3 linked regions of the Macaca mulatta genome follow. The protein of the gene in region 2 binds, or shares a complex with, the protein of the main gene of each other region. Links are inferred from orthologs where the notes say so. Each region holds a gene or a part of one and is shown on either strand. Other genes may lie near its edges.

Evidence for each region.
Region 1: CNOT2 (region 2) and CNOT6L share a complex: the UniProt entries of both Homo sapiens proteins name them as parts of the CCR4-NOT complex. The link is inferred for Macaca mulatta from reciprocal best matches to the Homo sapiens genes CNOT2 and CNOT6L.
Region 3: CNOT2 (region 2) and CNOT6 share a complex: the UniProt entries of both Homo sapiens proteins name them as parts of the CCR4-NOT complex. The link is inferred for Macaca mulatta from reciprocal best matches to the Homo sapiens genes CNOT2 and CNOT6.

The regions. Positions count from the first base shown.
Region 1 is NC_133410.1:56,072,992-56,076,647, reverse strand, and holds part of CNOT6L (CCR4-NOT transcription complex subunit 6-like), read right to left. Parts: coding exon 3,526-3,656; intron 1,049-3,525; coding exon 846-1,048; intron 1-845. UniProt on the Homo sapiens protein: Has 3'-5' poly(A) exoribonuclease activity for synthetic poly(A) RNA substrate.
Region 2 is NC_133416.1:77,414,986-77,418,641, reverse strand, and holds part of CNOT2 (CCR4-NOT transcription complex subunit 2), read right to left. Parts: intron 2,748-3,656; coding exon 2,627-2,747; intron 2,525-2,626; coding exon 2,368-2,524; intron 1-2,367. UniProt on the Homo sapiens protein: Component of the CCR4-NOT complex which is one of the major cellular mRNA deadenylases and is linked to various cellular processes including bulk mRNA degradation, miRNA-mediated repression, translational repression during translational initiation and general transcription regulation.
Region 3 is NC_133411.1:189,587,631-189,591,286, reverse strand, and holds part of CNOT6 (CCR4-NOT transcription complex subunit 6), read right to left. Parts: coding exon 3,620-3,656; intron 1,473-3,619; coding exon 1,270-1,472; intron 1-1,269. UniProt on the Homo sapiens protein: Poly(A) nuclease with 3'-5' RNase activity.

The DNA.
Region 1 (3,656 bases), on a different chromosome or scaffold from region 2:
TTTGGCATTTTATTAAATTCCTGCTAGGCTTCTTATACCAAACTGCTTTCTAACACTTGGATTTTTCCAGATAGTGTAAGATTCTACTATAGATGCCTGAAATGCCAGAAAGTCAAAGAGAGGTACAATAGCAGAGTCACAGGTACACAGAGTGATCAGAAAACTAGCACTGGAAAAGAGATTACATAAAGCCACCACAATCTGTCTTTCTAAAGAAGAGCTGGTCCTGTACAATCGGCCTTTCCATTTTTTTGTGTGTATTTGTCAAAAAATGTCTTTTTCTTTCAGAGTGTTCCACTGCCTAGGAATATATTAGTACAAATACATGGATATAAAATAGAACCAAAGTACAACCTTCTCTAACCCCATTCCCAAAAGAAACCTGAAAATTTAAAGATACTAAGACATCAATGGAAGGTAGAAAGAAAATCTTGAGAAAATACTACATAAATTCATTCAAAGTGAGTTTTGCTATATTCAGTGCTTTTCTGTCGGGGGCAGGAGGGAGGTTACTGCTGAAAGTTAGGGATGGTTTGAGCAGGTGAGGGTTAACTATATTGATATATACAAAGTGCTTTGACAAGTGCCTCGTACCTAGTGAGCATTTCAAAGTTTTTGTTATTATATTATTTAAAATCTAAACAAACGAGAGAGCAAGAAGAATTTAAGACAATAGCCATAAAACCCAATGAACCTACTTATATCTAGGTGCATACTTAGCCTAGACATTTTAAGAATCTAAAAATTCCTGAAGATTATACAATTAATCATAAAGAATTTACACCTTTTTGTTACATGCTTGTATCTGAAATAATTTCTACACCTGCCCAAAGGCTGCCACTCACTTTGAAATCAAAGGTGTAATTGGTGTAAGGCATCAAGTTATTTTCATAGGCGCTCTTAAGTTGGAAGCCATGTGTGATTCTCCCTTCTGAGCTTCCATTCTTTCCATTGCAGCTGAAGTTCATAAGACACTCATTGTACCTTAGTTCCTTGAAGTCTTTATGGTTGTCAGCTACTCCTCCATTGCTTAAGTATTCCACAACACCTGGTAGAATAAAGAAAAAAGAGACACTCCCATTTAGCATTCAGACCTTACACAAGGCTTCACAGCCAAGACTTGTTACCAGGTTAATCCACCAGGCTCAGAATGGTTTTCTTAGATTGAACCATATAAAACTGCCTTTTGTCATTATTTAAAAATAAAAAATCAAATACCAGCCATTTCATACGATTCAATCAATTGAATCAAAGGATGTTTGCCTATTTCAGAACAAAATATATCAGGAACACTCAAAGATATCCTTAGTTTTCTTGGTGGTTCTTCAGGCCAAAAATTTCCAGGACCTAGGATGGCATTCACCAGGAAGGCATTAACCCTAAATGTTTTCGGAAAATTATTCCAAACCACTATCTTTTTAGCATTTTCCCATTCTAAGCAACAACTCTGCAAATATATAAGTAGAACATATTAATAAAAAACGTTTACAACAAAAACAGATTTTGCATCTTTAACATTTCAATGTCTAGTGTCAGCTAGACAGTATCATTCTTTATTTTGAGCTACAGTGAGTTTTCTCAGTCTGACACTATAAAGAATATTATATGGCAGAAATATACCACTTGGCTAAAAATACAAGGCTGAAGAGAAGAATAGCATTCAGAAAAGTGCACTGCTTCCACTGAATTAGCAAACATGAAAACAGTATCAAAACCCTTATGATTAGTGCATTATTAGAGTCATCCTTCTATTTGTAATAAGGATTGATAGTAAGATATAATGAATGTGTGATAAGCACAATTATCAGTATTGTAAATAGCTCAGAAGGCACTATTATTTACCTAGTATTTGCTACATGCCAGGCACTGTTCTAAGTGCTTTATTCATGTAAATCTCACAAACAATTCTATGAAGTAGATAACATGATTCTCCCCTTGTTAAAAATGAAGAACTAGGCTGGGTGCGGTGGCTCACGCCTGTAAACTCCCAACACTTTCAGAGGCCGAGGTGGGCGGATCATCTGAGGTCAGGAGTTCGAGACCAGCCTGGCCAACATGGTTAAAGCCTATCTCTACTAAAAATACAAAAATTAGCTGGGCGTGGTGGCATGCATCAGTAATCCCAGCTACTGGGAGGCTGAGGCAGGAGAATCGCTTGAACCCAGGAGGCAGAGGTCGCAGTGAGTCGAGACTGCACCATTGCACTCCAACCTAGGCAACAAGAGCGCAACTCTGTCTCAAAACAAAAAAATAAAAGGAAAAATGAGGAACTTAGTCACAGATTGCATAGTTCATAAGTAGCAGAATCAGGATCCAACCATGACAGTCTGGCACCAAAGACATTTCACTACGTTGTATTGCCAAATGCCAGCTAACTGGCTTTAACAAATCAAATACAATGGGAGAAAAACTTGCACTTGAGAGTAATTCAACTTAAGAAAGGATTAAGAAAGGAGCATGTGGTTAAAGTGCCAATCAGGCTAGGGGTTAAAGACAGATATTTATTAACAATGATTTCAGCATTATTTGCTAAGAAGAAAAAGATGTTTTCACGTTCAGTGACTTTTTTAATATTCCAAATGGAGGCATTTAGGTTATCTTATAGTAACCTTATTGTTACTTACTTAAATAACTTAAAATAGCCTAGTAGTGATAATATACAAAAGTTAACATATGCTTTGGTATTAGCAAAAGAGTAATAGTTTAATGTTTTCTATTTGATACCTAAAATGCAGAAACTATTTTTATAAAAAGTAAAATGATATAAGTTCAGACATAAAGTAGTTTAGAGGAGCTCAAGAAGTAATATGAAGTCCTACGATAATTTTAATCATTCTTCTGTACCTACTAACAGTATCCAAATATCACTTAATGAATTCACTTAAAAGTTGCTAACATTATTAAACTAGATAGCTACCTGTAATGAATATTTTCTGGCTGCCCCTTCAGATCACCCTTCTGCAGTACACTCTGTGCCTCAGGAAGCTGATCTTTATTGCATCAACTGCAAATCCCTCCCCCCTCTAGCTTCTGGTTGGATTTGATCAATGGGCAGCCTGGCAGGAGATCAGAGGACAGAAGCAGAGTGAGGTAAGAATATATATTACCCTGGTACCCTTCTTGTTGGTTTGCCAGGGATTGACTGCTTCATGCAATTCAAAGCCATCACTCCTATTATGTGGCCCTTTCCTACAACTGTATTTTTTCCAAGTTCTGATGACAGACAGCTCCCACTACTTTCCCTTTTAGGTACAGGAGTGGTAAAGAGATCTATTACTAAATCCCCTAGGGGCAGAGTACTGCATCATTTATTGCTTTGTTTCCCTTAAACCAGCCAACACCTTTGGAAATAGCTTCTTTATTAAACTCTTTTCTATTACCCTGTGTCCCATCCATGGGATTCTTACTGATACATTCCCTAATTTAGAAGAGAAATTATCTATTCAAAATTTAGGAGCTAGCTGGCCTCTGAACCCAAGAGTAAAAGTGAAATTGAAAGCAGTGAGGAAATGATGTTATAAATACCTGAATCTGGCAATGAGTTAAGATCTGCACATAGCACCAGCGGGATGGAATTAGGATCTGCAGTTGGGCTGCCAGGCCTACTAGAGGCTTTCTCCAGAATGTTTTTAACCTCTGAGACAAACATCATGGTC
Region 2 (3,656 bases):
AGGCCTGTAAAGATTTGGGGTTTCTGGTCAGGTGCAGTGGCTCACACCTGTAATTCCAACACTTTGGAAGGCCAAGGTGGGCAGATCACTTGAAGTGAGGAATTTGAGACCAGCCTAGCCAACATGGTGAAACCCTGTCTCTACTAAAAATACAGAAATTAACTGGGCATGGTGGCACATGCCTGTAATCCCAGCTACTCAGGAGGCTGAGGCAGGAGAATCGCTTGGACCTGGGAGGCAGAGGTTGTAGTAAGCCAAGATAGAATCACTGCACTCCAGCCTGGGCAACAAGAGCAAGACCCTGTCTCAAAAAAAAAAAAAAAAAAGATTTGGGGTTTTTAATCATAATGAAACCACAAACTCTTTCTGGGTGTTGAGCAGAGGAGTAATTTATTTAAAAAGGACTCTCTTGGCTGTTATATGAAGAGATTGTATGAGAAGGGGGATAAGGACAATCAGGGACCCCCAGGGACTGGCTAATGGAGTATTCAGGCAAGAGAGAATGATTCAAACAAGGGTGGTAGCAGTTAAAAAGTAGTGAACTTTGGTCAGATTCTGTATATATTTTGGCAAAAGCCTGATTATGGGGTATAAAAGAAAGAGGAGTTAAGAATAATGTCAAGCTTCTGGAAGTACAGAGTTACCACTGACTGAGATTGGAAAGGCTGTAGACAGAGTAAGTTGGGGGGTGATAATTCAAGAAATATTTAATTAGCAATTGAATGTAGAAATCTCACACTCAGAAGTATGGAATGGAAACATATGTTTGGGATTCCTTAATATATATGGTATTTAAAACAATAAGACTAGAAAAGATCATCAAGGATATAAATGCAGAGAAGAGGAATGACACAAAGAGGTCAAGAAGAAAAGGAGGAGGTACCAGCAAAGGAAATTGAAAAAGACCAACCAGTGAGGATGATGTAAAAAATGGTGCTCTCAAATTCAAGGATGAGAATGTGTATTAAGGAGCAAGAGTTCCTCCAAGTGATCACTGAATTTAATAACATAGAGGTCATTTGGTGACCTGAATAAAAGCAGCTTTAGTGAAGTGGCAGGGACAAAATCCTGACTGAAATGGGCTTACCAGAGAATGGAGAAGACCAAGTTGGAGGAATTGAGATGATTCTTTGAAAAGTTTTGCTTCAAAGGGAAATAAAGAAATGGGAAAGTAACTTACAGAGGAGATTGGATCAAAGGAAGATTTTAAGATGAGAGAAGTAACAATGTATTTCTATGTTGATGAAAATGACCCAACAAAGTGTGAAAATCTGTTGTTAAGTAGAACGCATGGGTCAATTGCAGTAATAGGGTGGAAGACAAGAATAACGTAGATGTAGATGGCTGTAGGTAGTCAGATTTGGTGGCTAGATTGTGCTAAATGTGCTCTTCTAATTGCTTCCAACTTTCTTAGGACAGTAAAAGTAAAAAGCAAGGTCATCATTTGATAGTAAGAACAAGGAGAAAAGGTATTAGGGGTGTGCAGAAGTGTATGTAATTGCGTAAGAGAGAAAAGAGTAAATGGACTAAGCATGCAAGGTATAATTATCCCTGGTAGAATTAAGAGCCTACTTTTGAGGTTCCTGGGTACGAAAATAAAGGAAGCCCAGGCAGTGATACCATGTGTTTTTCTCTAGCAGGGCTCAGTAGCACAGGTCAGGAATGAAATAGGCAGAAACAACCAGTACTGTAGCTTTGGCCATGCAAGTATAACAACATGAGAAAACGGCAAAGTAGTCACGGGATATGTAAATGAACAATTACGACTGACCACAGAATTTCATGGGTAAGAAGGGAGTTGATTACAGAGGAAGAGAGACAGGGATATGGAAGAACAGTTAAAACACAGAAGAATCAATAGATTGAAGGCCCCGGTGGAGTGAAATGATTACAGGAATTACAGTACCAGAAGAAGATAACTAGAAAATAGAAAGTGGAAATCGGAAAGCATGTGAGCACAGATTTTAAAATTGAGAGACTGCAGTTACTAACAATGACTAGGTCAAAGGGATAACTAAAGGAGTGGCTGAAGTATACTACAGGACAAAAATTCCTGGAGGAAAGAAATTCAAGGAGCTGAGATTTCAGGATTGTGGAAGGTGTGTGTATATATATACACATACATACACACACACATATACATACTTGCACATGCACACACATGCACACAGACATATAAAATGCCAAATTATAAAAGGAATACTGCAGAGTGCCAGTGATCTAAGAGCTAATATGCAAGCGAATGACCCAGAGAAAAAACAGATTACAATGAGTAGCAGTAGGTGAGACAATTTGATGACATGATATTAAAAACTGGAAGTCTGAAGAGGTATTATATACAGACATGGAAAAACAGAAAAAACTTACTCAGGAGAGTTCAGATTGAGGCCTAATGTTGTTAAGTCACTTCCTAATGCAAGATGTACCATTCCTGGGTCTGTCTCTGCTGCCCTGATAAATGTTAACAGGCCAATCATTCCAAATTGGTCCGTCACCATCCCTTGAGGAATGTTAGTAACCCGACCTGGGTAGAAAAAACACAGTTGCTTTTATTTTCAAGGAAAAGTTAAAAAAAAAAAAAAAAAGCATTCTATAACATCTTTGACATAGATTTCTAGAGTCCCACCATCAGGTAACACCTGGATCCCTTTTTTCTGCTGGTTATTATTTTGTGTTGTTGAACTTTTATCTCCAGGGAATTTGGGTCCATCTGTACTTGAAGTTGTCTTGCCAGATGTATTCAAATTCTAGCATGAAAAAAATTAAATGTGACATTAAAATTTGTTAAGTATACAAAAAAGTTCACATATTAATACCTTGCTATTCATTCTTTATTATATTTAAATTGGTAGTAAATTATTACCTGTTTTTCAAGTTCTATAGAAAATTGTTTCCATCATTGTTCCATGGTATACAAATAAATCCTATATCATCCACATTTGAGTATTTAAAGAAAAAGAAATCAAGGGAAAATATTCTTATTTATCTCAGATCTTCAGTCACAGAAAAAAAAAATCTATCTCTTTCTCAGGTCTTTATGCTTTGGGATACACTTGAAGTTACACTCCTCAATGCTTTCATGTAAAAGAGAAACTAAATACAGTATATTACCTAAAATCACCAAAGCTACCTCGAAGATAAGTTAGAACATATAAGCTTTAAAACTTTGTACTTATTCTAATTCTTACCAATCTTCTTTATCAATTATTTTAATAATATATAAACTCCCATCACACACACAGAAAAGCTATTTTCAGTGAAATGTGGAAGAAATAAACATATTTGTTAAGTCAGAAAGAAGAAGCTGAGTTGGCTGAATCAACACAGGTATAAAAATGTGTATAAATTCTTCAAGGAGAAAACTTACTCAAGAAAAACACAGCTCCTTAGAAGGCTATATTATCAAACTTCATGGGATCCAGCTGACAGGGACTACAATAAAAGTCTAAATTAACTCTGAGAAGTTCAACAGAAATTTGCAAACCTATATGAAATAGGAAAAAAATAGGCTATCTTCTAAGTTATAAAGCTTTTCCACATTCTTCAGAAGTTAGATTATTACAGATATCAAGATAAAACAGTTTTGTAACAGTATTTAGTAAGTAACTGTTAATATAAGAGAAATCTGAAGGGAAAAACTACATCACTCACTCACA
Region 3 (3,656 bases), on a different chromosome or scaffold from region 2:
ACCAGCCTGGCCAACATGGTGAAACTCCGTCTCTACTAAAAATACAAAAATTAGCCAGGTGTGGTGGCAGGCGCCTGTAATCTCAGCTACTTGGGAGGCTGAGGTATAATAATCACTTGAACCTGGGTGGAGGTTGCACTGAGCTGAGATCGTGCCACTGCACTCCAGCCTGGGCAACAGGGTAAGATTCTCTGGGGGGTAAAAAAAGATGTATCTTAGAAACACTTATAAATGGCTAACATAAACCACATTTTGGCATGCAAGAGTTTAGTTTCAATTAAAATGTTAAGAGACGGAACGTCTTACCCCAAATGTCACCCAAATTAGTTACTATGGTGCTGTATATCTAGCTATTAGTAAGGAGAATATAAGAAACATAATTGCGGCCGGGCGCGGTGGCTCACGCCTGTAATCCCAGCACTTTGGGCGGTCGAGACGGGCGGATCACGAGGTCAGGAGATCGAGACCATCCTGGCTAACACGGTGAAATCCCGTCTCTACTAAAAAATACAAAAAAGTAGCCGGGCGAGGTGGCAGGCGCCCGTAGTTCCAGCTACTCGGGAGGCTGAGGCAGGAGAATGGCGTGAACCCGGGAGGCGGAGCTTGCAGTAAGCCGAGATCCGGCCACTGCACTCCAGCCTGGGCGACAGAGCAAGACTCCGTCTCAAAAAAACCAAAAACATAATTGTCCCCAAAAGGTGAAAAAGTCAACTCAGGAATTTTACAGATTATTTCATCTGACTTCTTATCCTGAAAAATATTAGAATAAATATCTACAAAGTAAGGATATAACAGCAATCACGTGGACTTCTAAAGAAGGTAATAAAAGAATATTACTGGCTGAGCACAGTGGTTCACGCCTGTAATCCCGGCACGCTGGGAGGCTGACGTGCAAGAATCATTTCAGGCCAGGAGTTCAAGACCAGCCTGGGCATAGTGAGACCCCCATCTCTACAAAAAACACAAGAATTAGCCAGGCATGGTAGTAGGCGCCTGTAGTCCCAGCTACTGGTGAGGCCGAGGTGAGAGGATCATTGGAGCCCACATGGTTGAAGCTGCAGTGAGCCATCATTGTACCACTGCACTCCAGCCTGGGTAACAGAGTGAGACCTTGTCTCAAACCAAAAACAAAGAATATTGCTGTCAATCAATTCAAGATTGCTTCATTCCAGTCTGAACACACATCCACATTTTTAAAGACATAATGATGCATCAGCAGACTTGCCAGTAAAATAGAGGTTTGAAAAACTTATCAGTCTCAAGACACACCTTGAAATCAAACGTGTAATTTGTGTAAGGCATCAGGCCACTCTCATAGGCACTCTTTAACTTGAAACCATGAGTGATCCTTCCATTGGTGGTTCCATTCTTCCCGTGACAGCTGAAGTTGGTAAGACTTTCATTATACCTCAACTCCTTAAAGTCTTTGTGATTTGTTTCTACTCCACCCGTGCTCAAATATTCTACAACACCTACAATGAAGACAATTTTTTTTACTGTCAAATATAATATAAACAAAAAGTAATTTTAAAAGATCATGCAATAGTAAAAAGTTTTAAACTACATACTCCCATGTTCCAAAATGTTTCCTTTTACATTTGCCAGGACTTGTCCAAATCTATTTTTACACAGCTGTAATCACAGAATACTGAATAGTTTATACTTTGCTTTATGAACATGTGTCTTCCCAATTATCATTCTTTAATGCACAATGCAACTGGGCTGGTGGATAATATTTATGGTTACTTATTTTGTAAAATGCAGGTAGTTTCCACTTTTTACAAAGAATTAAAGATAACACCACAATCAACATCTTAGTATGCAGACTTCCTGCTTATGCTCAATTATTTACTTGGTATAAAATCCCAAGATTAGGACTGAATGTGCCATTTTACGATACTGCCAGCTATGGAACAGAATACCACCAGCTAGTTACAGAGCAAGCGTCCACATCCCTAGTCAAGTATTTTCCCAATTTACTAAGCATAGATGGGCTCTGAAAATAAACTTTCATTTGCATTTTATTCACAAATTAGCAAGGCTGGACATTTTCTGACCTGCCTGCTATTACAATATCGTATTTCTCAATGCTGAAATGGGTCTTGGGTATTAATGTGTGACTAGATTTTCTCTTTACCCCTCAGATACTTTGTAGCTACACAGAAAGTAGAAAGCATGTAGAGAAATTGTCAGAGACTACTACTCAACTGCTTCAGCAGCAGTAATCTCCAGACAACCTGATGAAATGAAATAATTACAGATTTTAGATAGCTTTGATTTTCCCTGAAATCGATTTTTTTTTTTTTTTGAAACGGAGTCTCGCTCTGTCTCCCAGGCTGGAGTGCAGTGGCGTGATCTTGGCTCACTGCAAGCTCCGCCTCCCAGGTTCATGCCATTCTCCTGCCTCAGCCTCCCGAGCAGCTGGGACTACAGGCGCCCGCCACCACGCCTGGCTAATTTTTTGAATTTTTAGTAGAGACGGGGTTTCACTGTGTTAGCCAGGATGGTCTCGATCTTCTGACCTCGTGATCCGCCCGTCTCGGCCTCCCAAAGTGCTGAGATTACAGGCGTGAGCCACCGCGCCCGGCCTGAAATCGAATTTTAACTCAGTTTCTTTCTTTCTTTTCTTCTTTTTTTTTGGAGATAGTCTCACTGTCACCCAGGCTGGAGTGCAGTGGGACAATCTTGGCTCACTGCAACTTCTGCCTCCGGGGTTCCAGTCATTCTTGTGCCTCAACCTTCGGGTAGCTGGGATTACAGGCCTGCACCACCACGCCTGCCTAATTTTTGTATTTCCAGCAGAGACGGGGTTTCACCATGTTGGCCAGCCTGGTCTCGAACTGCTGGCCTCAAGTGATCCGCCCACCTCGGCTCCCCAACGTGCTGGGGTTTTCTTTCTTCCTAATGGCTCTATCTATTGTGATGTCAATAATGTGTTTCCCAATGCGCATGTGTGTGTGTTCACGCATACACTCAAGTCCAAGGAGAAGTATTCCTGTGTGTACAAATGAGTGGAAACACGAAAAGGAAGAAACAGTTTGTTATTACAAGGGCTATTGTTTATTGCATACTATCTATGGAAAGAGCATTCCAGATCAGGCTTTCTGTATTCTACATTTTAATAATCAAGATCCTTGCTCTTTGTTAAAATCGCTTGACTGATGTGTGTGTAAATAAAGGAGCTCAATTTCTACTTGAGGTGTATTTTTCTAATCAAGTTACAAATACGTGCAAAATTGAGATTCCCTAATTTTAACTCAAATTTAAACTATGATTATATTACCAGATGCTGGAATCCCAAAGGGGTTGTCTCAATACCATAATTATCTCTGACTTGGGGGTAATAAAACGGAACTACATACGTTCTTTAAAGAGTTATTTCACGTTATTGGTTATGTGTTTATTCAAAATGATTAACATCCTTCTCCTCAAGCTTCCACAATATCGTTTCATCTTCAAAATGGCCCCTCCACCCCAACGTGACGTTTAAAACCTGCTCATAGCTGCCATTACAAACTGAATTTTTATTTGGACTTAATTTGGAATGATCAGAAACAAAACATTACTAAATCATTTTATGTCAAAAAATATTCTACATAAAATCACATTATTTTCTTACCAGAGTCTGGCAAAGAATTAAGATCTGCACATAACAC